Arabidopsis thaliana: one gene and its partner. The protein of the gene in region 1 interacts with the protein of each later gene in a pairwise test. Each region holds a gene or a part of one and is shown on either strand. Other genes may lie near its edges. The genes, in order: SAG29 and AT5G24100.

Evidence for each region.
Region 2: the proteins of SAG29 (region 1) and AT5G24100 interact in a protein complementation assay, tested with the Arabidopsis thaliana proteins (one large-scale study listed by BioGRID).

Annotation. Positions count from the first base shown.
Region 1 is NC_003076.8:4,175,046-4,191,160, reverse strand, and holds SAG29 (senescence-associated gene 29), read left to right. Parts: upstream 1-7,806; 5' UTR 7,807-7,989; coding exon 7,990-8,041; intron 8,042-8,616; coding exon 8,617-8,653; intron 8,654-8,746; coding exon 8,747-8,957; intron 8,958-9,041; coding exon 9,042-9,206; intron 9,207-9,300; coding exon 9,301-9,420; intron 9,421-9,536; coding exon 9,537-9,830; 3' UTR 9,831-10,119; downstream 10,120-16,115. Other genes in the region: PBS1 (Protein kinase superfamily protein), read right to left, coding at 11,479-11,937, 12,044-12,435, 12,682-12,871, 13,479-13,681, 14,181-14,307.
Region 2 is NC_003076.8:8,135,905-8,152,288, forward strand, and holds AT5G24100 (Leucine-rich repeat protein kinase family protein), read left to right. Parts: upstream 1-12,639; 5' UTR 12,640-12,954; intron 12,955-13,268; 5' UTR 13,269-13,311; coding exon 13,312-14,590; intron 14,591-14,721; coding exon 14,722-15,287; 3' UTR 15,288-15,481; downstream 15,482-16,384. Other genes in the region: AT5G24070 (Peroxidase superfamily protein), read right to left, coding at 1-87; AT5G24080 (Protein kinase superfamily protein), read right to left, coding at 3,430-3,801, 3,902-4,352, 4,439-4,619, 4,702-6,059, 6,231-6,487; CHIA (chitinase A), read right to left, coding at 7,901-8,306, 8,578-8,774, 8,944-9,249; AGP41 (arabinogalactan protein 41), read left to right, coding at 16,193-16,310.

The DNA of each region.
Region 1 (16,115 bases):
CCTGAATTTTTATGCCTTCAAATTAATTTTGATAGACCAGAACGTGTGATTGTCATATGAACTATCCAAAAATAAATGTACTCACAAAAATGTACTACTATTCAGGACATATCTCAATGCTTTTACAAAATATTATTGTTTCCACAATCTTTTTAGAGACATCAGACATGGGTACGAAAAGCAAAATCAAATCACTTTTACTTATAATCATTTCATTGGCTATACGAAACCTAAAAAATACACAGCAAGGTACTGCAGCTGCTTTTGTCACATATGTGAGCTTGGAAGTTGAAGAAAACCCACAAAAAGATAGACGAATCCTTTAAGGTGAAGAAACCTGAAGAGTGAAGTTTCTTTTCTTTTCTTCATTACTTTTGAAATATGTTTTAATTGATTGCTTTCCATCAAATTTTGCGTGGCCTTGAACATTGTATGGCTTTTTATGGCATGTGACTGAACAACTTATAAAAAGTTATTTTTTTTTATTCTCTCACGTGTGATACTACTAATCCGTGTGCTAACTTTCTCTTCTTTTTTTTCGGGAAAGAGAAAATAGTTGGGCTTTTGATAAGAAAAAAAAAGTTGTTTCGTGATGCTTATTCCAAACTTGAAAGACACAAATTCCAGCCAATTAAAGGTTAGACTTTCATCTTCATCACTTTTTAGTTTTTACTTTCTTCTTTGCTCTCAAATCTTAAAAAGAAGAAAGAAAAATTACACTAGAGATGATCTTTATTCTCATTAGTGAATACATATCGGTTTAGAATCAATTTTTTGTTTGGTTATCGTTCGGTTTGGTCTGTTTCAACTGAAGAGAAATTTACAGAAATAAGACCAATACTTGTTTATTTTAGTTTGGCTATACTTCCATTTGATTTAGTTCTGGTTTGGTCCATCCTGGTTTGGGTTTGAGATTATGTTTTGAGTAGAAGAAGAAGGAGAAATGTCTTAAGTGTTGTTTAGCATGGGCCTGTTTGAGGACTTCGGTTAAGTTTGGGTTAATGATTCAAAATTTTGAAAATACTCTAGGTTCCAGGCCCATTACGACTTATTGGGCTCTCTCTGTGATGTATTACCAAAAGTTGGTTTTTTTCCTTAAAAAATACTTAGAAAACGAGGGCAGCTATGGTATAGAGACCATTGTTAGTTACATGATACTACTGTCTTCGCTAAGAAATCCGCACATAGGTGTTGACAGTTAGTCTTTATTCCTGTAAATGCTGTTTTCCATTGTTGGATGTCCGTCATGTAACAGTAGAGTCGTAGATTCTCCGCATTGCCATCGATTAGTCTGTGAATGATTTGATTGTCTCCTTCGAACTCCACGGGTCTATAGCTCTGTAAATGCTATGGTCTGATAATTTCTTTATTTGTATTATTAAGATATCTTGAAAATAAATGTCACGTGAATACTTCCGTAAACAAGTAATGATTTTACCCAAAAAAAGGGATTTAATTATTTGGTCTAAGTGACTTGCCCAAGCTGTCCTTAATTGTAGTACGATTTTGTTTGTGAGTAAATCAACTATTTTTAATGACGATGCCGTACCTCTAAGCCATTTTATTGTGGTTCAAATTAATAATCAAGGTTAAGAACAAATGTTTCTTTGTTTGGGATGTTTGGATGAAATAAGCTGGTTTTCTCTTTTCGATAAGACACATTTGGTATATTCGACGACACTAACTTGGGAAAAAAAGCAGCCAGCTCATCATTTCAAACAATTTGAAATGATATATATATAAGCTTTATGTGGTCCATGTCTTGGGTTTAGATGTCGTCTCACAATCCTTGCCTTATCGCCACGCCAATCATTCATTTACATGTAACTTCGGAAATTTGTGATTGATCAAGTCTAAGTTTTTTTTCCTTTTAAAGATAAATACATTATTATCATTAATGCATGGCTACTTGCATTTTGATTGGCAATACAGTTAAAGTAAAATGATGAGACCACGGAATAAAACAAAATATGTGTGTGTGTTGACAAATAATTATATGTGCAATGAAATTGACGTAGAACATCTAACGTTAAGATTCGTTCTCATTGGTTCACAAAAAGAAGAAGATTAGATCTCATTACGCTGTTAAGCCTTAAGGATCTTAGGAAGTCTTTATGAATGTGAAGATATGACAAATCAATAGTACGCATTAGTAACTGATTATTACAAATTTCCTAATGACGCCATTAATTGGAATGCTCAATGACTTGAACACGACAATTAATTAGTTGGAATTCAAAAGTAAGGCAAACAAATACGTTCACGAAAGAAAACACAAAATAAGAATAAAAGAGTCCCCACGTATTGCCACGTCACAGAAACGTCCAAAAAGCAGAAAACCTGCCATTGCCTTTACTTGAAAAGGAATGAGATGTGTAAACGTTCAATGCATCGATCTTCAAATTGTATTTTGGGTACTTTCTTCCACTTCTCTACCATACAAATACGTATTCCTCAAGTCATATACAACTACAAATACCAATCGTATCAAGTATCAACTAGCAACCTAATCTTTTGGCCATCAATCCACTGTACTCATTTTTCATAGTATTATTATTCACTGCTAATATTTCTTTTATAGGATAAACGAAATAGGTTTACCAAAAATGATTATGTATTATTCACTGCTAATTACCTATACAGTATATAGTTTCATGCAACAGAACTATGTTTTGGTAGAGATGAATCTCTTTGCGATTTTTTAAAAATGAACCAAAAAAAAAAAAGCTATTGCGATTTCAATACTGTTTGATAAATTTTATTAAGAAACTGACTTTGCGGTAACAGATAACATGTAATCAACTATTAATCCGTAATCCCAAAGTGAAATGTAGAGTGATATATAATAATAAAAAATAGGTAGATTGGCACATGATCTTTTAGGGGTTAATTATATTATTTGGAAAAAATCCCATAAAAAGTGAAAACATGCAAATGAATATTAATATTATGTGTATAAAGAAAATTTATAATGCCGCTGTAATATGTTTTTTTTTTTTTTGAAGGACACAATGTTCTCTCTTTGTACGTAAAAATGAACGCTCTTAAGAAAAAAAGAATTCACGTTTTCTTCTTCTCTCATTTTCTCACTTATTTTTTTCTGGAGAACTAGTGTATAGATTTTCTTTTGTTTTTAAACGGAGAAAACCATTTATTTTAACAAAAAGAAAACATAGAGATGGGGTTTTTGGAAAGGAGATGTCGTTTGTACTTCTAGGTGTATCCAGAAGACAATAATTATATGGCTACGTGTGGAATGTTCTGACCACTAGACCACATTTCTTTGTATCTGAAACATACTAAATATGAATCAAGTTCTAATCAAACACTATAGAACGCCACGCCTTTTGGGCCCTTAAAACTTTTGAGTCATTAATTCTGTTTCTGGTATAGTCATTTCCTTATTTTGATTTGAGCGTGACTCTACGGTCTATACCTTGAATATTTCATTTGTATCAATATACAGTATAGGTAATTAGGTATATATTATTTTGTTGTTATAAATTATAATGAATACAATTTTTCGCCATTACAAAAGATATGAACATAATTTTTCGTAGTCAAAACTATTTCATGCGAATAAAATCTCATGAAAGGAATACCAGCAACTCCACGAAAATCACACACTCGGAAAGTATCGAGACCTGTATCCAATGGGAAACACAAGTTTGGAAAGATACGAATATCATCGTATTCGTATATGAAAGAACAATACCTATTTTAAGTGCTCCTTGTAAAATGAGTGTTTGCTCTAAATAGGTATCTAGTACTCTAATCAAATCTGTATTTGCTTGAGTTATCATACATATAAAATGGTACCTCTTTTGAAATAAAAAAAACGAACGCCGAAACCCAATATATGAAAGAAAAGAGACGTCCCAAATTGGCTGCATGGATACATCAAAAGCACATTCCATACGATTGAGACTAGGGAAATTGCTATTCTCAGAAAAAGAAAATGTGTATTTTTCCATGCAAACCACTATATATATATATATAAAAGACATACGTTTTTTCATTAAAAATATATATTGAGAAATAACAAATACAACAAAATTGGCATTAACTTTTTCTTTTGGTGACAATTATGTGATTAATATATAAACGCATATTTTGGCCTATTTTACCTATCGTTTTTTTTTTGTTTCTCCAGAACGAATATGCTGGGGTTTTTTTTAAATAGTATATATCCGCAATTAACAGTTATTGTTTCTGTTGTAAAAAATGCCGATCTACTCTATATTAGCCTTACTTTGCTTATTTTACTAAGGTAGCCTTAGTAAAATTTAAGTTTTTGTAAAAAAGCTGATCTAAATTTTTTATTAAAGTTTAGGAATCAAATAGTATATTTTTATTTTAATTAAGTTCAATCTGGTTCGAGTTATCACATATTGGTTTACTTCTGTTTCTATTGAAAATTTGCAATCACACATATATTTTATTCACGTATGGTAATTGCAACTTATAATTATTTTTATTGCATATAAGTCCATAAAAGGATGGTGTCCAATAAGAGGTCGTTATTAAATGTAGGAACCTGAGAATGGGTCTGTTTGATTGATTCTATTAAGAAGGGATGATTAATTGATGAGAACATTGAAAAGGACAAAAAAGAGTTCTAGGAGATATAATCGCTCTTCAACCAACTTACATTAGCTTTCTTCATCCTTTACTATATTGCTTTCATATATCGTCATTTACTTTCATTCCCTCCATATTTAATTTGTTGGACCATAGTTTATTTATGTGAACGACACATTCTCAAAATATCTTGTGTTCTTGACCCATTCTCGAGGCAGAAGACCGATTCGTCTAAGGAACATCCGTTTGATTAAATTAATTTCATCTACTTATCATTTATGGTTATTAATATATGTGTCCACTAACTTCAGCGACTAAGGTTTGTAATCTTGCATCAAAATATGTTGTTTGGTTACTGAGAAAATGATAACGTAGACGGCAAAAGGCGTACTTTATACATGCAAGTTTGTCTTAATATATGTACTAGAAAATTTTAAAACTTATATTTAAGTAATTAATTTTCATCAAGTTTTTTAACAATTCAAAATTATCTCTCGAGAAATGTTATTGTTAATTTTCATGTATGATTGAAATTTCTCTAGAAGTGATACACGTAGTATATTTCTGTCAGAAAAATAGTTTAGCACTTTGGCCATATGTGAATAAGGTGATGATATCAACCATCCCATTACATTTATTTTAATTATCACAACGCTGTAATAATTCTTATAAATATGTATGATTGAAAAGAAATTTATTTGAGTAATTATTTTGAACAACATGGTTTAATACATACACAATTTATGGTATTCTGGCTAATATAGATTCAATAGACCGATCATAATGACATAGTAGTATTTATTTGGTAAACATTAATTAATTCGCTAACAAATCATAGATAGGTATCTATCATTGAAAGCTATATGTAGCATAGCTAGATAAATGTATGTGTGTGTAAAGCTAGATTCGTATAACCGATTGAAATCAGAAAACGATAGGATCGGGGGAGGTTTAATTTCACCCACATGATTGTCATTTTTCCTTTATGTGGTAGCAACATACACAAATTTATATGCATCCATCATATATCAATGTGGGTCACCTAGATGCCTATATTATTGGGGTTTGATCAGCCGATGTTTGTTGTATTTGGGTTGATTTTCCACATAATTCATTTAAAGCATCATCCATTAAAAACGAAAAAACATTTCATATATGGGTTACAGAAATTTTATTCGATGAGAAATGTCAAAATATAAACGAGAAATTGTGATGTGATGCAATATTGCTAGTGAATTATGAATATCTATTGTTCATGACTACTGTATACATATTACTATAAATGTCCATGGATATATTTATAGTAAATAATATAAAGAAGTCAGGGGAATGTGATTGCAAATTTGCATACACCGTATGGATCGTACGATGAACCAAAACTATATTAGGCACCAATCAATCAAAATTTTTAAGAGAAACCAAAGTTGCTTCAATAGTAATTAGAGATGGGGAAATTAAGGTGGAGGAGAACCACAAAAGTGGCACCTCTCATATTTTAAATTATTATGGACCAAATAAAAGAAAGAGGGAGAGAGAGAAACAAATACTCACGAATAAGAACAAGAAGGATTTAACAAACCCATGATCATTGTTATCATTAGCCTACCACGTCACTCCTCTTTTGTCCATTTCTTCCCACTTTTAATATCTGTTTTAACTTACCCTCGAAAAATGGAGAATTGTTTCGTAATTTTCTCAACCTTTTCTCCAAAATATTCAGATTCCTTTCCTCATAACTATAGAAACAAACGTAACAAAAGAAAATGTAATATTCAACCAATCTCTGAATAATATGCATATTACTGCATAACTAGATCATTATACATGCATCCTTATTTCAAAAAATTAACGAGAAAAAGTTTATAAACATTTTAGAAAATTATATATAACTGGAATCAACAAAAAGGACTAATTGTTATTTAATATACTAATATAAGAAATCCTGAAAATAGGGATTAAAACAGGAGACGAAGAGCAAGAAACAGAAAATACTCTAAAGACACGAAACCAAAGAGAGGGTGTTGCCTAGTCAGCATCTGATGACGTGGCATAGCTCTCGTGTGTGTGTGTCTCTACAAACTCTAAAGAAACGGCTATAAGTGGAAGCGTTTGGAGAGGTCACGTGATTTGCACAAATTTTTCGTTTTCATGCTATTATTATCGTATTATTAATCACGACTCTCTCTCGTAACGCATCATTTTTTTCGTTTAATTTACCTTAATTTATTCTCACGCGCGACGCTCCGTTTCGACGCGTGGAGTTTTTGCTCAAAACATGCATGATTGTTAACGTTTTCTTTTTGTACAAGGAAAAAAAAAAACGTGTACCTCTAGACAAGAGTTAGAGAGAAATGAGAAACTGGACCAGGAGATGTGAATGGTTTCATTCCTACTTTGGTTAATCATTGCAAATGCCAATAATTATATAGAGAACGGCGTCAATTTTCTGCAAAGAAATATCTTTACTGGTACTTTTTTGTGCTACCTATAAATGTGTTGGTTTAATCTAGCCATCACACGTATATTTCTAGCTATGTTAGATCTTTAATCATTCTCACCTAGACTCCTTTACAAAAACCAATATAGATGAAACCAGTCCCACCCCTCTCATTTAAGTCATAGTATATATTTGTGTAACGAGAATACAGACAAAACAATTAAATTCATTGTAATCATACTTGAAAATATAGTCAATGAAATTAATTATCCTACATTTTTGAAAACAGTGTCTATAATTATTATGTACATTGAATAGATACGTGGGATATTTTGGATTCCAGTTCATATATATGTAGATTAAAAATAAAGAGAGGGCGATAAAGCCTAAAGAAAATGTACAAATCGTAATGTAATCTAGTGATGATTTCCTCTATATAGGTTGATGTTGGGTAGACTTTTGGTCACCATGATATTTATCTATCGTCTATAAAGTACAAAACTGTGGTACTAAATGTGATTTATGAAAGCTAATTAAAAAGAAGGCGTGAAGAAAATGAAATCGTAATAGACGACGCGCGTACGAGATGAGAGTAGTGGAGGAAAGAAGTAAGATTGAGTGAATGATAAAATGCAAACGCTACCTACTAATATCTCCACTTGTCATGCAACCAGACTGAGTTCGTTTTCCTTTTCGAGTCTTATTTTTTTGTTTTTTATTCTACTCAACACGTTACACGCTTCTAATAAACTCTAAACATTAAAATCAAAATATTTTGACTACAATGGTTATTTTGGAGCTATATATAAACCACCTGAGCCTCCTCAGTTTCCTCCATGAAATAAAAAGAAGCATCTTCTAGAGAGAGACATATAGAGAAAGAGAGAGAAAGCTTTAGGGTTTCAAAAAAAAAAAAAAAGAGACCCTTTAGAAATCTCCTAACAGGAAAGTTTTCTCAATTGCTATAGAAAATGGGAGTCATGATCAATCACCATTTCCTCGCTTTTATCTTCGGCATCTTAGGTAATGATAAATCCACAAAGCCAAATCCTAGTTTGTTCATCATCTCTTGTCTTTACTGTTATTCTTATGTTTTTTACTTGTTAACAAAAGGAATTTGCAACAGCAACTATAATGTTGCAACTTTACATCTAAGCTTCTGTTTTCAAAACAATATATACTATGTGTAGGGTTCCATTGTAGTTCTAGCTTAGAGTTAATTAAACAACAGAGTACTAAGAAATGAATTGAAATTCTGTAGTGTTCATCATGACTCACCTAACAAGTTTCAAGTTTTTTCTTCATTAACTAAACTAAGTCATTTGGGATTATAAATGATCTTCTAATTCTTTAGTTAAATCCCAAACTACCAAAAAATAAATCAATACGTAAGCTATTAATTAAATTGAAATCGTCACGCATTGTTGTCCATGTTATATCATACTCAATACGTGTATAGTGGTTAATGCACAATTTAATTCCCCGCTGAGGTTGGTTAGAGAACCCGTACTGATTCATATGTACTTATGTTTCCACAAAACTAGAAGCCTCTTAATTATACAATTGACTCATTTTTTTATTTTTACATGGAATTACAGGAAACGTGATATCCTTCCTTGTATTCCTCGCTCCAGTGTAAGTAGATTCAATTTACTTTTTTTTATTTCATTTTATTTATTTGTTAGTTTTGAGAATGATTCTGATGATTTCGTTTTTCAAAATATTCAGGCCAACTTTTTATAGAATATACAAGAGAAAATCGACGGAAAGTTTCCAGTCGCTACCGTACCAAGTGTCGCTATTTAGCTGCATGCTATGGCTCTACTACGCATTGATTAAGAAAGACGCTTTTCTCCTAATTACCATCAACTCCTTTGGCTGCGTCGTGGAGACTCTCTACATAGCCATGTTCTTCGCTTACGCCACCAGGGAGAAAAGGGTAAAATTATTCCCCTCTCCTCCTCCTTAATTCCGCTATGTAATTAAATACGAATATTAAATGAATAATATGCGTTTTTGGCAGATATCGGCTATGAAGTTGTTCATAGCAATGAACGTTGCCTTCTTCTCGTTGATTCTAATGGTAACACATTTCGTGGTTAAAACTCCTCCCCTCCAAGTCTCTGTACTCGGCTGGATTTGTGTTGCCATTTCTGTTTCTGTTTTCGCTGCCCCTCTAATGATCGTGGTAAGCTAGCGTTATTTAATTTAATTTGTAAATTTATTTCTAGAACATTATATTTTGAAATAAAATGTTAAATATAAATTCTTGATGTGAATAGGCTCGTGTGATAAAGACAAAGAGTGTGGAGTACATGCCCTTCACGCTTTCTTTCTTCCTCACTATAAGCGCCGTTATGTGGTTCGCTTATGGTTTATTCCTCAATGACATATGCATAGCGGTAAGCAATTAAGCATCTATATTATTATTTATTTTTACCGTTTGCTAAATTTTTTAAATATTCGGTAAAAAGGTTATAACTGACCTATTTTGTATGGCTTTGATGATATTTTGTAGATTCCAAACGTGGTGGGATTCGTACTAGGGCTGTTGCAAATGGTTTTGTACTTGGTTTACAGGAACTCAAATGAGAAACCAGAGAAGATTAATTCGTCAGAACAACAACTTAAGAGTATTGTCGTGATGAGTCCGTTAGGTGTGTCGGAAGTGCACCCAGTTGTGACGGAATCGGTGGACCCACTCTCTGAAGCCGTTCATCATGAGGATCTGTCCAAAGTTACTAAAGTGGAGGAGCCGTCAATTGAAAACGGCAAGTGCTACGTGGAGGCTACTCGTCCTGAAACCGTTTGAAGTGTCAATATGTGAAGCTCAAAATATTGCTCTCTCTCTCTCTCTCTTTCACTCTCTTTCTCTCGGCTCGTCAGGGCCGGCCAAAGGAAGAAATTGTATTATCGGCGGGGTGGTTTGTTAAATTTCCATTTTTGTTTCGTATCTTATTGATGATGTACTACTTGCATAAAGTTTTGTGTTTATTTGAATATATTATCTTTGTGTAAGTTGTAACTAGTGCTCTTTGGAAAATTTGATATAATAAACCTCAATAGCTTAATTACTCCTACTAATAAGCTTTTTTTTTGTTAAAACTAATAAGCTTGTTGACCACCCTTTTTTTTTATGATTGATTACATTTGTCTTAAAGATGTCGCCGTCAGTTAGATAACGAATGGTCTTGTGCCATTGACGACATACTGTTTAACGATTTTGAGAATTAACAAATATATAAAACTCATGAGTCAGAAGAAAAAGTATGTACATAAGTTTGTGATCTAAACTGTCCCCATCAAGTATATACAACCAAAGCAGATTATATTCTTTTTTAAACGAATTGTGTTTTTCTTTGTAGAGTCTAATTTTCAAGTGTACAAAAAATCATCACCGTCCAGTTTTGGAAACGAATAAAAAATTGTCAAGACGTCCCAATGGTCTGATGAAAATGTATTGCAAGCATATCTCACACTTCCAAGTGACAATCACTATATTATTTGCTTATTCGTAACAAAATATACAAGATTACTTAGTTATCTACAAATATTATAACCATCCTATGATTATATTACCCCAAAATATTTTAATATAACTATAAATAACTCGTAAGAAATAATAATATGAAATATATATACTTGTTAACTAACTTACATTTTAAACCGTAACGACAAAATCCGACAAAGAATCATATATATTATAGCGAATTTTGACAAATTACGCATGCCAGTGTAGGATACGCTATGTAATTTATAAAATTAGTATGTCTCTTGATGGAAAAAAAGACAGAGGTTTTTAGTTAATAATTTTTCCTCTTACTTAAAAAATTCTAAAATTTAGGACTATCTAGTAAAGAATAGATTCTCCGAGTATTTAGAGGCCAAGAAATGATATTCACCAAAACTAAAACATACGGGAAGTTTCGACATCCATTTCAATAGACTACACAGTACACTGTCAATAGTAAAAAAAAGTCCCGACAAAAACTTGATAAGACCAACTAAAATCTTACAATCTGAATAAGCCATCCTTAAAATAATTGTCAGATTGCGAGGGCATGTGACCCACGTTGTCCGAAACTCCGCGATTGTGGACATTAGCCACACTACTGAACCACATGAATAGAGTCCAGAAACACTTAATATTGGATCTTTGCTATTCAATCTTTCAATGAGACGTAAACATCGCCACATGTGACTCATCATGAAACACATATCTGTCAAAATTTAAAAATAGAAAGACTACAAAATTTACATGAACAATCTTCACAACTCTCCAGAATCTCAATTAGAGAGTTTTGGTTATTAACCTTTGTGCCCATATTGCAACATCACATATATAATGTACAGCAACTCGTCGTCCCAATGTTTTTTTGTTTGTTTTCTATGTTTGACAATAAATGAGAGTCTTGAGAGAAATAAGAACAAAAAAGGGTCAAGACCGACCCAAACCGGTTCTACCCGGTACTGTTGCTCTCTGAAGTACCCTGCTCGCTCTGTCTTCGTTTCTCCCTCAAACTCTCTCCCCACATCTTAGCCTCTGCAACCGCACGCTCCCTATTGATATCTCGGTTCAATATCCGAGCTGTCTCTCTCGGTGAATCTTCTTTCTCTGAACCTTCTAAATCGAATTTACTTCCCGAGCCACCTCCATCGTCGTTCCTTGTTATTAACCTTGCACCTCTTTCATCCCGGTTTCTTCTACTATCATCTTTACTTGGATCATAAGCTTGGTTTGCAAGATAGGAGAGTGCAGTGACAACATCTGCTATGAGAGGACGTGTAGCCGCCTGTTCTTGGATGCACATTGATGCCACAGCTAAAGCTTGGTAGAGTGCACGCGTTGGAAACCGCCCCTTTAACCTTGGATCAGCCAGTTTTATGAACTTTCGCCTGTCGTTGAACAATGGGCGAGCCTGTTACCACCAAAATGTTAACTATTAGGACCAAAAAAATTCTCAAGACTTCTTGCATACGAGAATAATGGCAAATCAATTGGAAGATGATGACGAGTTGATTTACCCAAGCCACCAGGTTCTGCTCTCCATGAGGCATCTCGCTGTCTATAGCTTTGCGACCAGTAATGAGCTCGAGAAAAACCACACCAAAACTGTAGACATCTGATTTTACTGTCAATTGTCCCGTCATTGCGTACTCGGGAGCACAATAACCATAAGTTCCCATAACTCTAGTGGAGACATGAGATTTGTCTCCCGTTGGTCCGAGTTTAGCAAGTCCAAAATCAGAAAGCTTAGGGTGGAAACCCTCATCCAGTAAAATATTTGATGACTTAAAATCTCTATAAATAACCGGAGGGTTTGCCTTATCATGTAGAAATTCCAATCCTTTCGCCGCACCAGCAGCTATTTTCATTCTCATGTTCCAATCTAAGGCCTCCTTATCCGGTGGAAGATCTGGAAAAAATTATTTGTTAGAGGCTGCCAAAGAAAACAAGCAACTACTACTTCTCAACTTAAGTCTACATGTATAATTTATAGGTAATGATTATAACAAATAAATAAATGAATGAAGAATCTGTTAAAGTTAGGGTTGACATTGACTAAGATAAGAAAGAATCTTTGGATTGATGTTGATCACAAGGAATCTCTGAGGTCTAATAAAATGGTAAGAGATTAGAAAAGGGCTGGCGAGAGATTTACCGTGGAGGTGATCTTCCAATGATCCTAACGGCATAAACTCGTAGACCAAGAGGCGTTGATCTCCATCAGCACAATAACCAATAAGGTTGACTAAGTTGGGATGATGAAGAAGACTGAGCATAAGAACCTCTACCAGAAATTCTCTGTTACCTTGTAGACCATTCCTGTCTAGTTGTTTAACAGCAACAACCTGAAAATGATTGAAAAAAAAATAGATCAGAGGTACAACATTATGTATTGCGAAATCATCGAGCTAAACAAGTGATCTGAAACACACAGGTGACATGGATCAAAAGTAAAGACATAAATGTAAAACTGTTCACCAAGTATGCAGAATTCATGTTAACATATATACAAAATTAAAAAGTCAGTCATCTTTTTAACACTGTAAACATATGTACAACCGGAAGATGGCAAGCAGTATCTTGCATATTCATTTCCTGGCATATTCATCATTCAAGAAAAATGTTGAAGGCCAAGAGAACATCAAGACCTTACCCTACACTCACTTCACAAAGAGCGTCATTCTTGAAATTTCACACGTATTAAGAAACAATTTCAAGCATGTCTCTTGTCATTTACCAAGACTACACATAAAATTGGAATTCTCTCCAAAATTTAGCATTTGAAACGTACAAACGAAACTCCTTATGAAACAAAAAAAATCCTAAAGTGACACTTATTAGATAAGACTCATTCAATATATGAAGCAAAATCTCCCACTAAAATGAATAACAACAATGGTAGAAATAGGAATGCGATGTAATTTACTTAACTTCAAACGAAACAAAAAATACCTGACCGGTGCTGTCAAGCCTTCCTTTGTAGACACGTCCAAATCCACCTTCGCCTAAGAAAGTGTCAGGATGAAAGTTCATAGTTGCAGCAGCAAGCTCGCGGAAAGCAAATGTATGAGCAGCAATTTGTCCAAGTCCATCCCTTGGAAGCAGTAGCTCCCTTTTTGATCCTCCATTGGTCTTTGAGCTAAGCTTCTCCCCACCTGCAACGTCATGATCAAGACCAATCAATTTACCAAACACATCCACTCACAGCCTTCTCATACCTCATGCCAACTTAAACTCCAATAACAAATCACCCTAAAAGCATAAAACTTGTATCAATGTCTCCAAGGCACAATCCCCAAATAACCAAATCTAAGATCTTAATCCTAATTCAGTAGGGATCACGTGATCCTGATCCTCACAAGGTTCGATTCCTTTTCAAGACACAAAATTTACACTGAGCACAAGCTAGAGACTTCCCAATCAGATCAAAACAAGTGAAATTGAAGCAAAGAATGACACTTTCACCAAGAAACACAGTTGAATCAGAACATGCCCAATAGCTTAAAAAAACATCTGACAAGCTCATAAAACCAAAGTAACAGTGATTGAGATCAAGTCCCGTTAGCTTAACCAGAGGATCAAATAACCAGATCTTATGAGCATGTAACGAAAGTGGATTAAAACATAAAAAAGCACAAATGAGTAAATCAAAACCTGAAGGGAGTCCAGATATGTTATTGGATACTGTCGGTTGTGATTGTTTCTTCTGACCATGATTAGATTCATCAACTGGATTCAGCTTCTCGTCATCACTCGAATCAAAACACGAGAAACAACCCATCTCCTCCTTTACTCAATTTTCCCAATAACCAAAAACTACAATCCTACTGGGGAATCAATGAACAGGAGCGATTGGATAAATATAAAAAAAGGCGAGACTTTTCCTATACCCAGAAGGAAAGAAGGAGAATTGAGATTCTGGGTACCAATAAAAAACCCAACTTTGTTCAGATTCGAAACTGGTAAAAACGAATTGGAGTTGAGAGAGAAAGAGAAGGAGAGAGAGAGAGATGAAGAAGCAGCTTCTTTTGTCGTCCACGAGTGTTCACACTATTACCAATTGCGAATTAACAATGACGCGTTGCTGAAACTCTCAGTAAATCCTTCCTTCGAAACTTTTCTCGTTGACGAGATTATCTTCAATACAAGCAAATTAACTTCTTTTCTTTTTCTTTTTGTTAATTTAAGCAAACAAATCTTCTTTCTGCTGTCAAAATAACAAAATTAGTAAAAAAAACTTATTACTTATTTTTAATCACTTTACATAAAATCATATTTCTTCAGTTTCTTTTTATAAAACTTTTTGAGAGTATATATATATATTTTTTTTTTTGAATTTCTATAAATAGTTTTTGGTCATAGAAATGTTGTCATTAATCACCAAACAATTGTTTTAAACTCATTTACCCTTGTAAAATTAAAGTGATGATAGTGTTGACACTTGAACTCATAATCTCCTATAAGTCTTTTTGGTTCTCTCAGTCAAAACTTAATTTTTACCTTCACCTATTGTACAAGTGGATTAATTTTCCCCCTGATTGCACAACATGACTTGTAAAACTCAGGATATATCCCCTTTTTTCTCTAGCAAACTCTATACCACAACACTACAAAAAGATAACTTTGCTTTGGTCTTGAAGCAGAGAACGAAACTATAGCTTGCATTTTCATGTCTTGCTAGATATTGCTATTTATAGTCTCATACGCGAGAACCAAATATTTAGCAGCGCTTATCAGTTTAGTTATATAGTCATTTAAAAAAGAAAGGAATTGACAATCAGCATTAACTGATTATCAATCAAAAGTATTAACTATCAATCAAACTATTATCAATCAACCTCTGGTTAAGATAACGTGTCATTTACCAATCAAATGATGGTGTAAACATATTTCATAGATCCTTGATCGTCAGCCTCAATCAACGATTATACCATGCTCGTCAAATGCATGATTGGTTTGACTAAAACTTAGATGCACAATTTGCTTAAATTGCGGAAAAACATAAGAAGTAATTTTGGTGTAGCAATTTTGTTTGTTTGTTTGTTGCATGATTTTAGTGGAACAAAGAGCAAAATCCAGATTTGAAGCATACAAGTGAGTCCGGTCATTGGCTAAAATATGCAAAGCATAGTAGACTTTATAAAACAAACATGAAAGAAACAGACAAAGGCCTCATCAAATATATTTAGCTTTAGGCTTCCAGCCCTGGACTCACACAATATACCCTTGGATCACAGAGTATATGACATAAGCCCAAATATAAACTAAATTGCTGAATCATAATATTACATAATTTTTCCAACACATTATAAATAAACCTCAAGTTTGATCAGGCTGAGTTTGATTAATTCCTTAATATATAAAGTACAATTAAAAAAAAATTGGAGAGATCGTGAGACGCATAACCTTTCCCTTCTCGGTCAACGGCCAATGGATACCCAAAAAAACGAACCTCAGAAATAAAAGAGAAAATATATAATAACTAAAACAGAGAAGAAAAATTCACAATTAGTATCTTCGAAGAAGAAAGAAAGAAACTCTAATAATGGATTATTAAGAATAATCCTCACACTAATCTCCTCCATTCTT
Region 2 (16,384 bases), 4.0 Mb from region 1:
CAATCCCGTCGCAGCCTCTACCGTAGCCTTTCCGGCTAAGCTTATGACTACGAGGGCCAATAGTGGGAAAAAATTCACAAACTGCATTATTTTTAGTATAAAAACGAAAAAATCTTCCACCACAAAAAACCCTAGGAGTTTGTGTTTATTTTCTTGATTAAAAGATCAAAGTATCTTAGATTCTTATTATTTGTGTTTAAGATAAAAGAAAAGATAGAGGGAAAAATGAATGTAATGAATTAAGATATGGATTAGTACTCGATAATGAGAGTTATATATAAGGTTTGACTTGCATGGCAAGTCCACGTGAGTGAACCGGTAATGTCGATATAAAAAACTATTATTACGTTCTGACTTTGATCGGTTTGATGTACAGTACAAGGAAGCGCGTGTAGGACAAACGCGGATTCACATGAAACGATGTTCTTCCACGTTCCAAATTATGGATTTATGATTATTAGTGTTAATTATGTGGGTTGCTTGGTAATTGGTATACCACAAATAGTTCACACTTAAAATATTGTAATGAAATACCTCCTTAAATTTCAAAAATACTATATATGTTTGTAGAGATTTCAAGTTATCACACTTTAGAAAGTGAGTCCCATTAATATTTTTATATTCTTCATTTACAATTAGATGTTATTATAGTAAAATGACATATGAAGTTCATCAATACATTCAAAAGCATATATATTTAGCTAAGATTATGTGTTATTTAACCAAATATATATATCTTATTAGTTAATAGTTAATTAAATTAAAAAGAAATTAGTAAAAAAAAGTTCTCTATCTTAAATATTTGACTCATTGTAATATGTGGTAGTTTTGAAATAATAATAAATGTTGCAGTCATTTGGGGACTTAGGTAGTGACTAGGGAGGGTAGTTGTCACCCCTATTCAAATTTTGATGTAAATTGTAGAACACATATTGAGGAATTTAAAGTATATATGCCCTAGTGGTTTTTGCTATTTTGTATGACCTAGTTGGTTATTTCTTTACCCGTTTGACTCGAATTCCTTTACATTGTAGTTTCACTTTTCCTCCTGTACCTAATAATATTTAATTTTAGTTGTAGAGATAAATAAATAAAGCTTACTATTATAACAGTGTGTATTCCATACCCCAAAAAAAGTTTATCTCAATAACAGTGTGTATCTCCATATACATATAAAAGTTGTCTCTCTTTGCATAGTCTACAATTCCACTCAAAAAAAATTCAAAATAGATCATGCTAACTAAATCAAGAAATTTCAAATCAAATTATATTACTTTAGTTTTAACTGTTTTTTATACTTAAGTTTTGAAATTAGTTTTCTTATTTATACTTATGTTTTAAAATTTGCAATCAACGTTTTGTGAGCCAAACTGGTCGGCGATAAATATTCATAATTAAACATTTCGCTTGCTCTTGTTATGGATGTATAAATAAGTAAGCTAATTCACTATACGAGAAAACAAAAACCTTATACCAAAATCTAGCTGTAAGAGTAATTAAGGAATGAATAACAATACTACGCCAACGCATTGCTGAAAACTTGTCCTTTCTTAAGCGTCAATTAATCGGAAAAAACTTGGTATTTCATTTCACAGGAATTTCTGTAAACTGTCACTTTGTAATACAACTATGTTACTTTTATTGAATTTTCCATGCCAACATGGTTTATTTTTTCCAACTTTCATATCAACATGCGTTAAAATATTAAAAGATCACCTACTAAACTTGTGCATTAAATAAATCAATCTCTCACTCGTTTTCTTTCTTTTCAATTTCGTCAGCTGCCTTTTCTTTCGCTCACCGTATTAGTTAGTTAATTACGTCCATTTGTCATAAAATATGTATTAAAAAGGTAAAAGTTTAGAAAACAAATTACTCGTAGTATTGACCTAGTCATAAAAATTACGTAACATTATGGAAATTCGCTTCCTTTAGATTTAATATCCATTAGAAAAATTTCACTTTTTCACTCGAAATGATATCACATCAGATCTATTTAGAAATCTAGTGAGTGAGTTGTTCATGAACTATACTTATCCTACATAGTTAGTCCTCGAAAACCCTAGTTTAAAGAAAACAAAAATTAACTAGGATATATAAAAGAAAATGTTTTAATGGTTTTTCACTGAGAAGGGTTTATAGTCTAGTGGCAAGGTCCACATATTGCTATACCTCATACTGGCAGGGCTAACGGATTAGGTGTAGACAAAAAAAAAATGTATTTCCCTACTAAATACAAGAATTTCTTATCATATAAATATTAAAATATTTGAGAAAATTAGGCCATAGGCACTTAACTTTATAGGATTTTTAGTATGCATTATGGGTACATTCTGATATTCCTTCTGACATTTTCTCTTCCTAATGTAGGCGTATTAATAGACCTAAAGAATTTTAGAGTAGACTACCAATACTAATTTTGTAATTTTTCTTAAATTAGAAATATCTGGGGTGATTCGATTAAACAATATACTGTATGTTAGTTTCTTTGTTTTTTTGGTCAACGGTCTACTAGACCTTTCTCTACCTTAGGTGAAAAACTGAATTCAAAACTCCTGTGTGCAAGGATATTCAGAGTTAGCATTGCAAATTGTGATAGAAGATCCGAACAAAAATATTTGTAGATTAAAAACAGTAAGATTCCTGATCTCTAGTTTAAGCTACTTTGTAGCTTAAAATGAAATTTTAAAAAATCAATCTACAGAAGATTGGAACAATGTTCTTGATCCACAGGAGAACCTTTAACCACTCAACTCTACCACAATTGCTTTGGGATAGAAGAGCAAATTTCGACACTGTTTATCAATCAATACTCTCTTTTTTTCTTTTTCTTCCAATCATACTCATAATCAAATGTATTATTCAGTGTTTTAAAATTTAAATTTATTTTATAAATATTTAAAATTTATTATAAAAAAAAAGTTAAAAGTTTTTAAAAGTAGATAGGAGATGAAAATAAATTAATTTCGTTTTGTGTTGGCTATTGTACTATCTTTCAAGACGTCCAGCGCTAGAAACGCTCTCATGGAAGTTGATGATTCAAAATGAAATAGGATTTGACTGTCCCAAGTCCGTCTTTAGCGGGATAGATACCGCTAGAGCAAGATCCGATGATTAAGATAAGAGAATCGTTTGCCTTCTCTAAGTATGGAACTTCTAATTTTTAAAACATTTACAAGTCACGAGTATTAATTTCTTCTCATTTTTTCCGTAAACCCAATAAGTTCATGTAAGTTGGTCCAATCTATGATATGTGTTAAGTACAGAGCTGGTCTGAATAAAAGTCCATCAAACATACATGAGCTTCTAACTTTTTAATTTGGTTTAGTGGTAAGAGACTTAAACATACATAAATATCATATTTTTGATTAGTCCTAGAAATAGAGAAATGATCTCAAACAATAAAATGATGCAAAAAAGAAAAGAAAACTACCTAGGAGACATTGAAGAATAACTACAAGTAGCATGAGACCGAGAGGAGGAACGATAACTCTGAGAGGTTGTGATTGTATTAACAGTCAAAGAGCTAAGCTGATTATTGAACTCTCTCCTCATCGCTCTATACACATCCTCCAATCCTTCCTCTATAAGTTCTAGAATCGTCTGTGGCATCGGTGGCAGATTTATCTCATCCGAAGTGCCTTCTAAAAGCTTAACCACCTCACCCATCGACGGCCTCATCGATACTTCGTCTTGTATGCACCAGAAAGCCACTTTAAGAGCCTTCACTACTTCTTCTTCCTCTGCTACTCCTTGTAGCCTTTTATCCACAGCTTTCAAAGATGTCCCATTCGTTAGTTCCTATTCATTTATTTTCAAAAACTCGTTAGGACGTTATAATCTTTATGTTTATAACTAATTTAAGCCCTTTCTTTATATTTTAGAAATCGTCTAAATTTACCTTGTAGGCCCATCCAGGGTAAAAGAAATCCTCAGCGTCATAGGACATATCAAGATTTCTCCTACCACCTACGATCTCTAGAAGAAGCATTCCATAACTATACACATCGGCCTTCACCGTGATCGGGCGGTTACTCACCCATTCGGGCGCTAGATACCCTCTCGTCCCTCTAATCATCGTAACCACATGCGAATGCTCTCTCCCCATCATCTTGGCTAGCCCAAAATCTGATACCTTAGGACAAAAATTATCATCCAACAAGATGTTTTCAGGTTTAATGTCGCAATGTATAATCCTGTTTCGACACTGCTCATGAAAATATGCGATTCCTTGTGCAGTCGCAACCGCTATTTCAAAACGTGTTCGCCAATCAAGTAGATTAGCTGTCTGTTCTGAAGAGAATATCCATTTGTCTAACGACCCATTTATCATGTACTCATAAACTAGAAGCCTGTAATGTCACCAAAAAAACATTTATTCAAATCTGTTTGCTTGAAAACAGAGTAAAATGTTTTGTAAAAGTCTTCTAAGTCATACCGGTGTGAGTCTTCCGAGCAGTAACCACACAAGCGAACAAGGTTCATGTGATGCATTGAACCAATGGTATTGACTTCAGTGATGAACTCTCTCTCGCCATGAGATAATGCTCTGTCTAATCTCTTCACCGCGACTAGCGTTTCACCCGCTACTGTTCCTTTGTATACTGTCCCAAATCCACCTACCACATCATAAAACAAAGAAAATAAGATTTGAAACACTTCTAAGTTAAAACTTGTTATATGATGATTGTTGATTCTGACCTGATCCAAGAAGTTGGGAGAAGTTGTTGGTACAGTTCTGGAGATCGCGGTAAGTGAAACTCACAGGAGAGTCACAAAGGATAAGAGAGTTCTTTGCGGCTCTCTTTAGTGTTCTCTTCCTATCTAAATTATAGTATAACAACATCCCAAGTAGTGCCACAAGCACAAGCATCCCCACAACTATAGGAATCACCAGAACCTTTTGTCTTAATCCGTGGCTCTTACGCGATTTAGAATCATTATTATTCGAATTTGAGGGATAAGATTCATTAGCTCTAGTCTTCACGAAAAGGGTTGAGCCAGGATCTCGAAACCCGCCAAAATTCAGACTCTTTAAAATCCAACAATAAGGCTTCTCATCATCTAAACCATAAACTGAAGCTACACACTTGCAATCTGACAAACACATCTCACCGCATTTCCTCACGTTGCTGATATCGCTGATATTTTCGATGACAGAACGTTCTGAAAAATAGTAGTTGGTCTCTTGGACCGTCGAGATCTTGAAGCTACCGTTACGATTAATGTTGCTTTCACATTCTTGGACCAAAGATGAGTTGTCTGAACAGAGTTTAGCGTTTTCTTGATCAGGAAGTTTGACCGAACCGGGCAAACATAAACAGTCAGCGTTTTTCTTGGTTCGGTCCAAATTGCAAACTCCGTTACCGCAAATCCCAGCTATGTCACACGGGTTTGATACAGCTGCCCATTCAGGGACCCATTGGCTTGAACCGTTCATGTCGTTGTCCCATCGGTATAACCGGAGATTACCGTTGTTCTCTAATACCAATCTCCGCAGAACCGGATTTTTTGTTAACCCTAAATTACTACTGTTGTTGTAATTCCGGTTATCATCTACCGGGTTCTTGTAGACGTACACTGCTCCTATTGAGGATTCTCCATAAACGATCTTGAAGCTTCCGGTATCGTCAAGAACTGCGGTAACATCTCCTGTAACATTAGATATATCTGGTCCGGACCAGTACGAGTAGTTTGCGTGAGGGTCAAGATTGATGTTGTAGGTTAGGCCGAGGCTAAGTGAAGTGTGTTGCTGCAGCATTTTCAGGGAGTAATGGCCATGGCGCGACGGTGAAGGGTTAGAGGTTAGTTCTAAGGAAACGGTTAAGGGTTGGTTTGGGAGGAGAGTGTCGGAAGGTTGCGAAAAGCTTTGCCAAATGGTTGGACCAGCAGTAACTTCTGTTCCAAGGAGGAGGAAGTTTCCAGATTCGGACATAACCGCTGATTCAACACCATGGTTTGACGTGTTTGAGGTCCAGACGACAGTGTTTTGGTCGGAGAGTACGAGGTTTCCCGTGGCTTCTAGCTCCAACACGGCTTCTTTTGTGACTGGGGAGTTTCTATATTTTAGATATTTATATTTTTGAGTAAAAATAATGTGGAAAATTTCTGATCATAGGGAAATCAAACGTTGGTACTAAAGAAATTATTTGAGCTTAACATAAAATTTGTATATATTTACTACTAATATAGATTGCTTCAATAACTAAATATCAAAGGATTATGTGTACCTGTTGGGAGACCAGACGATGGTTGGATCACCAGGAAGTTGTGCGAACCAAATGCTCAGTAAGAATCGGTCGGTTGGCTTAAACCGAGTAAACCCGATTGCAAAAGTACCGTTAGCAGAAACCCATGCCCGGTTCGGTTCACTAGCTTTTAGCTTTGAACCCAAACCGATGTGCGGTTCAGTGGCCAAGCTAACTAAGAAGAAGCAAAAGAATGAGAAGAGACCAACAGAAGGAAAATAAAAATGAAATGAAGACATAGTAGAATCTTGTAACAAAAGAGAATGAGGCTAAAAAATCGGTATACCATGTGGTTTAGTAATCTTTATATATCACTCACTTATATAATTTGAACGCATTTAGAGAGATGGTTCGGTGGGAGAACTCTGAAGAATGAGATTGTGGCACGTGTTTTTATGGTTGAACTAGATTTTCACAAAAGGTCTTCGTTTTTGTAAATGGTCGGCTCTGAATAATTGACGATGTTGGATATATTGGATATGGCGGCACCTGTTTTGTGCCTTTTTGTATTTTTTTATTAATATTTAATAGGATGAAAACTCCAGCTATAGTCGAAGATGTAACAATTAACTTTATTTTTCACACCAATATATGATCTATAATTTGTGAAATGTGTGTTCATGGTACGTAAGATAATATAGTGTCGCATAAATCAACATAAATCAGCACAAATCAACTAATGTTTATGCGTTCCCCATTACTATTACTCTACATACTCTTTTCATATTCAAAAGTTTAAATGATGGCAACAAATTAAATGAAATCATCAAACTATTTTTATTTGGCTAGCCAAAATGGTACATCATTTTAGATCCATTAGAAAAATCGATTGAATGAGTTATTTGACGACTATACTCATTTTGAAGGGATTATTTGGATCAATCCTTGTTTATGAAGCAAATAACAAATAAATGAACTAGTGCATGCATGTTAAACCGTTCATAGCTCAATTAGATTAGATATTTTAGACTAATCCTTTGTCTAAATATATATAATGATTTTTTTTTTTTGAACACGATATATATATATATATATAGTATATATTCTCTCTGTTTATTACTTGATCTTTTATTACAAAAAGTTATTTTAAAATAGATTTTTTTTTATTGGTTTTGACAGTTTATATTCTGCATATTAATTTTACAATTAGTTAAATCTTATGTTTTAAATAGTTAATAAATAATATCGGTTTGCCAAAACTTAAAACATCAAATATAATATACAGAAGGAGTATTAGTCAAAAATCTTTTTTCATCCTTCTGATGTGGACAGAAGTCTTCTATGTGCTTACAATATGTTTATTTTTCTTCTGAATCATGATTCATCTCGTTTCTTTGCGCTTCCGATAATTTTCAATTTCAAATATAGTTCCAAAGTAGATATCGTATCTCTAAAAAAACCTTTCATGTAAAAAAAAAAACAAATCTTGCATGCAGCTAGCTACATCTATATCAGTTCATACTAAAAGCGAATCCATAATTTATTAAAAAAAAATATTGAAAAAGCAAAGTTGATTAAGTATATTGATACAAACAATTTAAATTAGACTACTAACACCACACACACACAACAATTCTTCAGAAACCAAAGACGAGAGAATTGATACACATACGAGAGAATTGATACACATACAATGGCCATAACGATTCTTTTCACACACTAGCCAATATAGATGAACTGTATCCATTTTTATCATCCCAGAATTTAGACCAAAGCATTACACCTCCATACTTCCTAGACTTCTTTAAAGTCGGAAGAATCTGTGAAGTCAGTACATCTGGTGGGATATAGCCACTTCCGGCAGCTTCAGGAGCTGCCGGTAGACCCAAGAAGAATTTTTGGGCTGCGATTGAAGTGGTCCACTTGTTCCATGAATCGAAGAGGTTTTGAGTATTACCTGAACTGTATGAACACGGTGGATTATTGTAGAATTGAATCCAAACATAGTCAAAACGTTTAGTGTTGAGAGCACTTCCCATTAATCTGTCTGGAAATGGACATTGAGGAGCTCCTGTTAGATATATTTTTCTTCCTCTGTGGCTAAACTTTGAGAGAGTCCTGTACACATTTTTTTTTTTGAAGTTTAGTTTGTTATTTTCACAAAAAAAAAAAGTCAACACAAAGAAGGAATTTAAACACCTAAACAAAACTTTTCTATATAAAGTTCGAATTTCGTTATCTTTTTGGACCGGAACTAAAATAGATAAATTAGTCACCCAAATCGTTTGGTGGTGTTCAACATCTTCTTTTGATAACTAGTCTTTTTCAGTCACGACAACATTTGTCATTTATTCAAAATGTTTTCTTAATTATACATTTATACTACTACCTGGCGAGATCATCCCAGTGTTGAGGAGAGCCAAGCTCGATATTGAAATCGATACCATCTAGAACAGCATCACCTAAGGGACGTGATGATGATTTTCCTCCCAAGAAGTTGTTCCACAGATAATCAGCGATAACTTTTGCGTCCTCCCTCGACCCAATCGAGTAGTTTCCAATCCCGCCGCCGAGAGACAACATAACCTTATAACAATTTTGACATAAGTATCAAAACAAATGTCATTTCAAAGTAGCTAACTAAATTATAGAATCAAAATTTGAGTAGATAAAAACAAAAGCTATTTATTTTCTATCTCGGAAAAAAAACCATCTAGACCTAAAGGATCGGATGTATGTGAATGAACGAACCAACCTTGATGCCACGAGACTGACAATCTTTGACCTGAGAGCCAAAATGGGTGCAAGTGTTCGCCGCAGGGTTGCAGTGGCCGGCAAGGTTGAGCTCCGGTGTTTGGCCATTTCCGAATTTCACAAGAAAGGCGACGTTGACGTAAGCATACCGGCCGGTGGCACACGTGGCAGAGAGGTTACCTTCGTTTCCGTTTTGGCCCCAATAGATGGCTATGCCACCTCTGGATGCATCGGAGGGTTTGCTAAGAGAGCAGCTTATGAAGAAAAGAAAGTATATAACATGCTTGCGAAGAGTCATGTTGGTCATGTTTTTGGTTAAAGATGTTTTGTCTTCTTTGTGGTTATGTGTTTGTTTGTTATTGCTTAACTTCTTTTTTTATAAAAGAAGTAAAATATGACTTTTGTTTGCTTTAATTTTTATATCTTATCTATGTATGTTATAATGTCTCTCACACACATTGCATGACTTTGATTGGTTGTTTTTTTCTTTCTTCAAATAATATAGCTTTCCTACTTAAACTAGATATAAATCTCAAACATTAAGAAGCCATCTAGAATCTCTTACCACTATGTAATTGTGTATAAAGAAAAAATAAATTTCAAAAAAAAAAAAAAAACTTGGGATCAAATCAGTAATAGCAGTCGCAGTCTCGCAGAGGGTATATATCATAACCTCACACTGTGCTCGTCGTCGTCTCTTGTGGTGTTGACTTTGTCCTCTTGCTGGTTTACGTGACATTTGGCACATTTCAATTTATCTATGAGTCGGAACTATTTTTGATCTAAATTTCCATTATTCAAATTAGAAATCGAAATTGTTGTTGAACCATAATTATTATGGTAATATCCTATTTTCCATTTGTTTTTAAATCTTCTGTGAATTGAATCCCTAAACGTATTAATAATTTCTTTATAAGATGAGGGATAGGACCGAGAACTTTTTTTATCAACTAGCTTTGAAAAGGTCTTATTTTCTCTTCCAATGGATGGATAACCAGACCAGCATTTACTAATTTTTGAAATTAAAATCATTAAAAACTTTCAAAGTCTTCATAATAATTGTTTTTACCAAAAATACAATCATTGATTTGACTCGATAAATTTCAAAGTCAAATGATATACTCCGAGTATATTTTATTAGGCCTCCCCATTAATTTATGTAAAATCCAAAGATATATATACAATAGTATTTTACTTGGACTTGAGTAGTATGGAAAATGTAAAGTTATCATAATACAAATTAGTAGTCCGAATTACATCGTAAATTAAAAATACATAAAATTAATCAGAAAAAAGTCGCATGATAATCCAACCTAATTTCCATATATTGTCGAAAATTGTTGACCAAAGTGTTTTGGTGATTTAGAATATGTTGATTCTTTAGACAAAAAAAAAAAAAGAATATGTTGATTCATGAAACCGGCCACTAAATATTGATCCAGGGAGATTGTTGATCCATTTGTAAAGGGCAAATACTCGTAACCCAAATGTTGTTAAATATTTGGGCCAAAACTGGACCATTTTCTAAGGGTGTGAACTGTGAAGGTTGTATTGAAGTTTAAGGTTTTTAAAACCTTAACAACTCTTGACAATTTCCCTTCGGCGTTTGAATATATTCATTATTGTATTGGGATAATTAATGTTTTCGCTTTCTCTAATTGTGAGACGGCTATGTTAAGCAATTGGGAATAGAAAAAGCTATAAATTTGTTTGTAATGGAGAAAATAAATTAAGTTGTAAACAATCATTTTCCCATTTATCATGGTTCGTCATCGTTCCTTGGCCGCACATGCAGCTATAATAGTATATGCACAACAGCACAGCAAACAACATATATTAGTAAAATATAACAACAACTATTAATCAAGGCAAAAACTTTACGTCAATGATTGTAAGATGCTCGCAGATCATGTGAAGTTACATTGCCAAAAACACATAAGATATGGTTTTAGTTTAATATATTATATTAATCACTAGATATACAAATTATTCATGCAGTTGCATGTGCATACCATATATAGACTTTAAATATACTCTCATATATAGGCTCATATAGCATAAAAGGTCCTTATCTTAATAAAGTTTTCTGCTTTCTCCCCTAATTTTTATGTTGGAAAAGCATTGCAATTTTAGCGTTAAGACATTTCGCATCGTGGTTCATGTTTAAATTGTTATATGTGAATATTCAAATTCATGCATAATATATCTAAGAGCCGTGCCTATTTGATAGAATTAGAAACACTCGCCTACGGCATTCACTTTCTTATAAAATTTACATAGGCATATTTATTAGATATTTAATGTTATGTTGTTTATATGTAAGATTGCTTGTTATGTTTTTTTGTTCTTGACCTTAAATGATCGTCATTAAATCAAAATTAATCCACCCATCTTCTTTTACCAAAAAAAAAAAACATCCATCTTTCTTATTAAAATTTTGATCATTTAATTTTGTGTTTATTTTTTCTCATGAGCATGTTGTTGTTCCACTACATTGATTCTTCTCCTTTAGCAACTTCGTTTTAATAAATTTTTGCCAAAGTTCTTTTTTTATACATGTTTAAAACTGAAAATAGTTATGTCAATATTGAATATCCCATTTTATATATCAAGTTTCAATATATATTTGACCAATAACAGAATAATTTATCGTTTAATTTTGACTTCTAGTTCTGTTTTTATTTATTAAAATATATTTAAGCACTAAAAGATATTCTTATATGATATTTATTATAAAATACTAATAGAATTTTTTTATACGGGAAAATTGTCAAAAAAATCACGAACTTTCAAATTTGGGACGATTTAATCTTGAACTTCACGGAAGACAAATAAATCGTAAAGTTTTTGTTGACTTTCGAAATAAATGACAAAGCTTTTGTTGACTTCCCATTTGAGTCATGTCGTTAAATAGGTTAACAGAATTATTTTACGGCGTTAATGTCTCGTGTATATGCTCTGTTAGAACAAAACGACGTCGTTTATTGAGAGACAAAAGAACGTCGTTTTGTCTGTTAAAACAAATTTAAACCCTGAATCTCCAATTCGATTTTATTATCTGCGATTTTGAGGTCAAGGTGGGTCTGTGATTTCGAGATAATGAAATCGATTTGGGGATATAAGGTTTAAATTTGTTTCAAGACAAAACGACGTTGTTTGGTCTGTGCAATAAACGACGTTGTTTTGTTCTAACAGAGCAAATAAACGAGTCATTAACGTTGTAATTTTTTTTTTGAACCTATTTAACGACATGACTCAAATGGCAAGTCAACAAACACTTTCTCATTTATTTCGAAAGTCAACAAAAACTTTACGATTTATTTGTCTTCCGTGAAGTTCAAGATTAAATCGTCCCAAATTTAAAAGTTCGTGATTTTTTTGATATTTTTCCCTTTTTTATTTCGCTTATGTCCTTAAAAACTCTTGGCAACAGGAAAAAAAATTTGCGTTGTAAAATTGGATATATGAAAAATCGACTATTTTATCTTCTAAAAACCTTTACACATTAACTAATACACAATGTTTTTCAAAGTCTCAAACTACGTATATTGTTTAGGGTTCACACTAGCTTTGGTGGTAAAAGTTGAGAAACTAAAAAATATGAGGGTTTTAATGTTAATAAAAGAAAGAAAGAAAATGATACAACAGCTCATATTCCCTTTAATGATTTCTAAGTTATAACAATCCTCCATCCAATATTTGTCACCATCACGCCCCAACTAATTGTATTCTTATTTTTTAATAAACCAAGTTCCAAATAATCTGAAACACTGAAGCTCCTTGAACCAGATATGCGCCAATTAAACGTTTACTAGCGTTTTGACTTTCCTAAACAATGATCTTTTATGTCTTCCTTCTTCAATAGCTATTGCCTATAGTTTTGCAGACCAAACTTCTTTGGTCTTTCTATCTTCTCTTCTTTCTAAATTCTCATAACTATCTCTTACATTCTCTCTTCTCAATTTAAACTAAAGTTTCAGCCAGTCCTTTAATGAGATTCCGCATTTGAACTGTAAGTTATTTTTTATTTTATCTTCACTTTCTTTGCAATTACGTCTGAAGAATCTGTTTGGCTTATACATTTGATGACTTCAACTTTTGGAATGTTCTAATTCAAATGTCATTTTAGGCATGAATAAGTGTAGTTTTAGTTTCGAACCATGTCTCAGAGTGCATACACTTGATTTGACAAGAGAAAATAAAATTATAAACAAAATGATGAAAAGACCATAATATTGGGGGAAAGTACAGGAATGATTTTTTCTTTTTCTTGGCAAAATCGTTAAAAATCTACATTTTCTCATACAATAATATTATCTAATGCAGATATAAAAGTCTCCATCACATAACCAGAGAAATTAGTAAGAAGATGAGTAGAGGAAGATCTTTCATCTTCTATTTTGTTTTATTTCTCTTCTTTGGATCATCGGCTCTGTATTCTCAGGTCACCGGTGATCTAGCCGGTGACAGACAAGCCCTTCTCGATTTCCTCAACAACATCATTCACCCACGGTCTCTAGCGTGGAACACAAGCAGCCCGGTATGCACCACGTGGCCAGGGGTCACATGCGACATAGACGGCACACGTGTCACTGCCCTTCACTTGCCCGGAGCAAGTCTTCTAGGAGTGATCCCACCTGGTACTATCAGCCGTCTATCGGAGCTTCAGATCCTCAGTCTTCGATCCAACGGCCTACGAGGGCCGTTCCCAATTGATTTCTTGCAGCTTAAGAAACTCAAAGCAATTAGTCTCGGGAACAACAGATTCTCTGGCCCATTACCATCCGATTACGCCACGTGGACGAATCTCACTGTTCTTGATCTGTACAGTAACCGGTTTAACGGTAGTATTCCCGCGGGATTTGCTAATCTTACCGGACTCGTCTCGCTTAACCTAGCTAAAAACTCATTCTCCGGTGAGATTCCGGATCTTAATCTCCCCGGTCTACGCAGACTTAACTTTTCCAACAACAATCTCACCGGATCAATCCCAAATTCTCTGAAAAGATTCGGGAACTCGGCTTTTTCCGGCAACAACTTAGTCTTCGAAAATGCCCCTCCTCCGGCGGTAGTTTCATTCAAAGAGCAAAAGAAAAACGGCATCTATATCTCTGAACCCGCGATTCTCGGGATAGCGATTAGCGTTTGCTTCGTGATATTCTTTGTAATCGCGGTTGTGATAATCGTTTGCTATGTGAAAAGGCAGAGGAAGTCAGAGACAGAACCAAAACCAGATAAGTTGAAACTAGCTAAGAAGATGCCAAGTGAGAAGGAAGTTTCTAAATTAGGAAAAGAGAAGAATATTGAAGACATGGAGGATAAGAGCGAAATTAACAAAGTAATGTTCTTTGAAGGAAGTAATCTGGCTTTTAACTTGGAAGACTTGTTGATAGCTTCTGCAGAGTTTCTAGGGAAGGGCGTTTTTGGGATGACGTATAAGGCGGTTCTAGAAGATTCCAAGGTTATCGCTGTTAAGCGGTTGAAAGACATAGTAGTGTCCCGGAAGGATTTTAAACATCAAATGGAGATTGTAGGAAACATTAAGCACGAGAACGTTGCTCCCTTAAGAGCTTACGTGTGTTCCAAGGAAGAAAAGCTTATGGTGTATGATTATGACTCTAACGGCAGTCTCTCTCTTCGTCTTCATGGTACGTTCTACATTTTTCATATTTTTGCAAAGGCAATACTTTCTATAACATATAAAGGCAAACAAACAGTTGAAACCTTATTTGATAATATTGGTTTCTTGCATCTGAAGAAAGTTTTTTTTTCCCTGCAGGCAAGAACGCAGACGAGGGTCACGTCCCGTTGAACTGGGAGACGCGATTGAGATTCATGATCGGAGTAGCAAAAGGATTAGGTCACATACATACACAAAACCTCGCACATGGAAACATCAAATCTTCTAACGTCTTCATGAACTCGGAAGGATATGGGTGTATATCGGAAGCCGGTTTACCTCTGTTAACCAACCCGGTTGTGAGGGCAGATTCATCAGCCAGATCGGTACTACGTTACCGTGCGCCAGAAGTAACCGACACGAGGAGATCTACGCCAGAATCAGACATATACAGTTTTGGAATATTGATGCTGGAGACTCTAACCGGAAGATCGATTATGGATGATAGAAAGGAAGGGATAGATCTAGTGGTATGGGTGAATGACGTTATTTCAAAACAATGGACAGGTGAAGTGTTTGATTTGGAGCTTGTGAAAACTCCTAACGTTGAAGCAAAGTTGCTTCAGATGTTGCAGTTAGGAACAAGTTGTACGGCTATGGTTCCGGCAAAGAGACCGGATATGGTGAAAGTGGTTGAGACTTTGGAAGAGATTGAGAGAGACTGATTAATAAATTGTAGAATTTTTATTTTACGGGTTTTGGCATTTATGATTTATAATTATGTCAGTGGCAGATATATAAATTTTAGCTCCATTTCTTTACATTTAGATAATTTACAAACTAAAACGGTGTTTAGCATTTAGATGTAGCATAGGAGGACTTAATTACTCAATCATTAATATAATTCCGTAAGTTTTATAATCTTGAACATTTAAACATTGACTCTATTGATAGAATTTATTTGTAGGTTTTGAAATGGTTTTGTTGAAGTTTGGATTTTATCTTTTATAATGTTGAAAAATGAAAACAAATGTGGTTTCGTATTATTGAAACAAATATATTATGAATTTTAACAACACAAAATCTAAGATTATGAAGGTAAAATAGTACAAATTGGTATAATTACGAATTTACATGGCCGTGATAAATTCTAAAATTAGTATGCAACTACCGAAAACAAAAAGGAACAATTATGTTTTTGGATTAATGGCAATAATAGGGAGAATAATGTGTCCAAGCTGGACACAAGAAGCTAAAAAACAGCCTAATAACCTCTCTTTTCGACTACACACAATTTGAAACAATAGCAGTTTTTTCACATTCACAAGTTTCGATTTCCATTTCCAAAAGCATCAATTATTGTGGGGCAAAAATGAGTTGTTCCGAGATATGCGGGTCGACCATAAAGTAGAAAATAATTGTTCAATAAAATGCCAAAAGAATCTCTCATTATTCTCATTACCTCATCTATCGCTCTGCCTAGCTTTTCTTTTGATTTCTTCTTTTTCATTTTCCTCTCTTCTTTGTTCTTCCCTCTCTAAAATCCTTCTCCCAAAAATCAAGGAGTTGAGAGAGGGAAGAACTTTAACAAAAGAATTTAAGAACTGAAGAAGGAGGAATAAACATCGAAATGTCGGGCTCGAGGCTTTTCTTCGGAGTTTCTACAATTGTATCGATAATTTTCGCCATTTTGTTGCCGATGGCACATGCTCAATCCGCAGCTCCTGCTCCGGCTCCAACAAGCGACGGTGAGTTGATATAATTATCATCAATGGTTAACTACAGAGGTTTCTTGAAAATTTTCAGATGTGTGAATATCTTA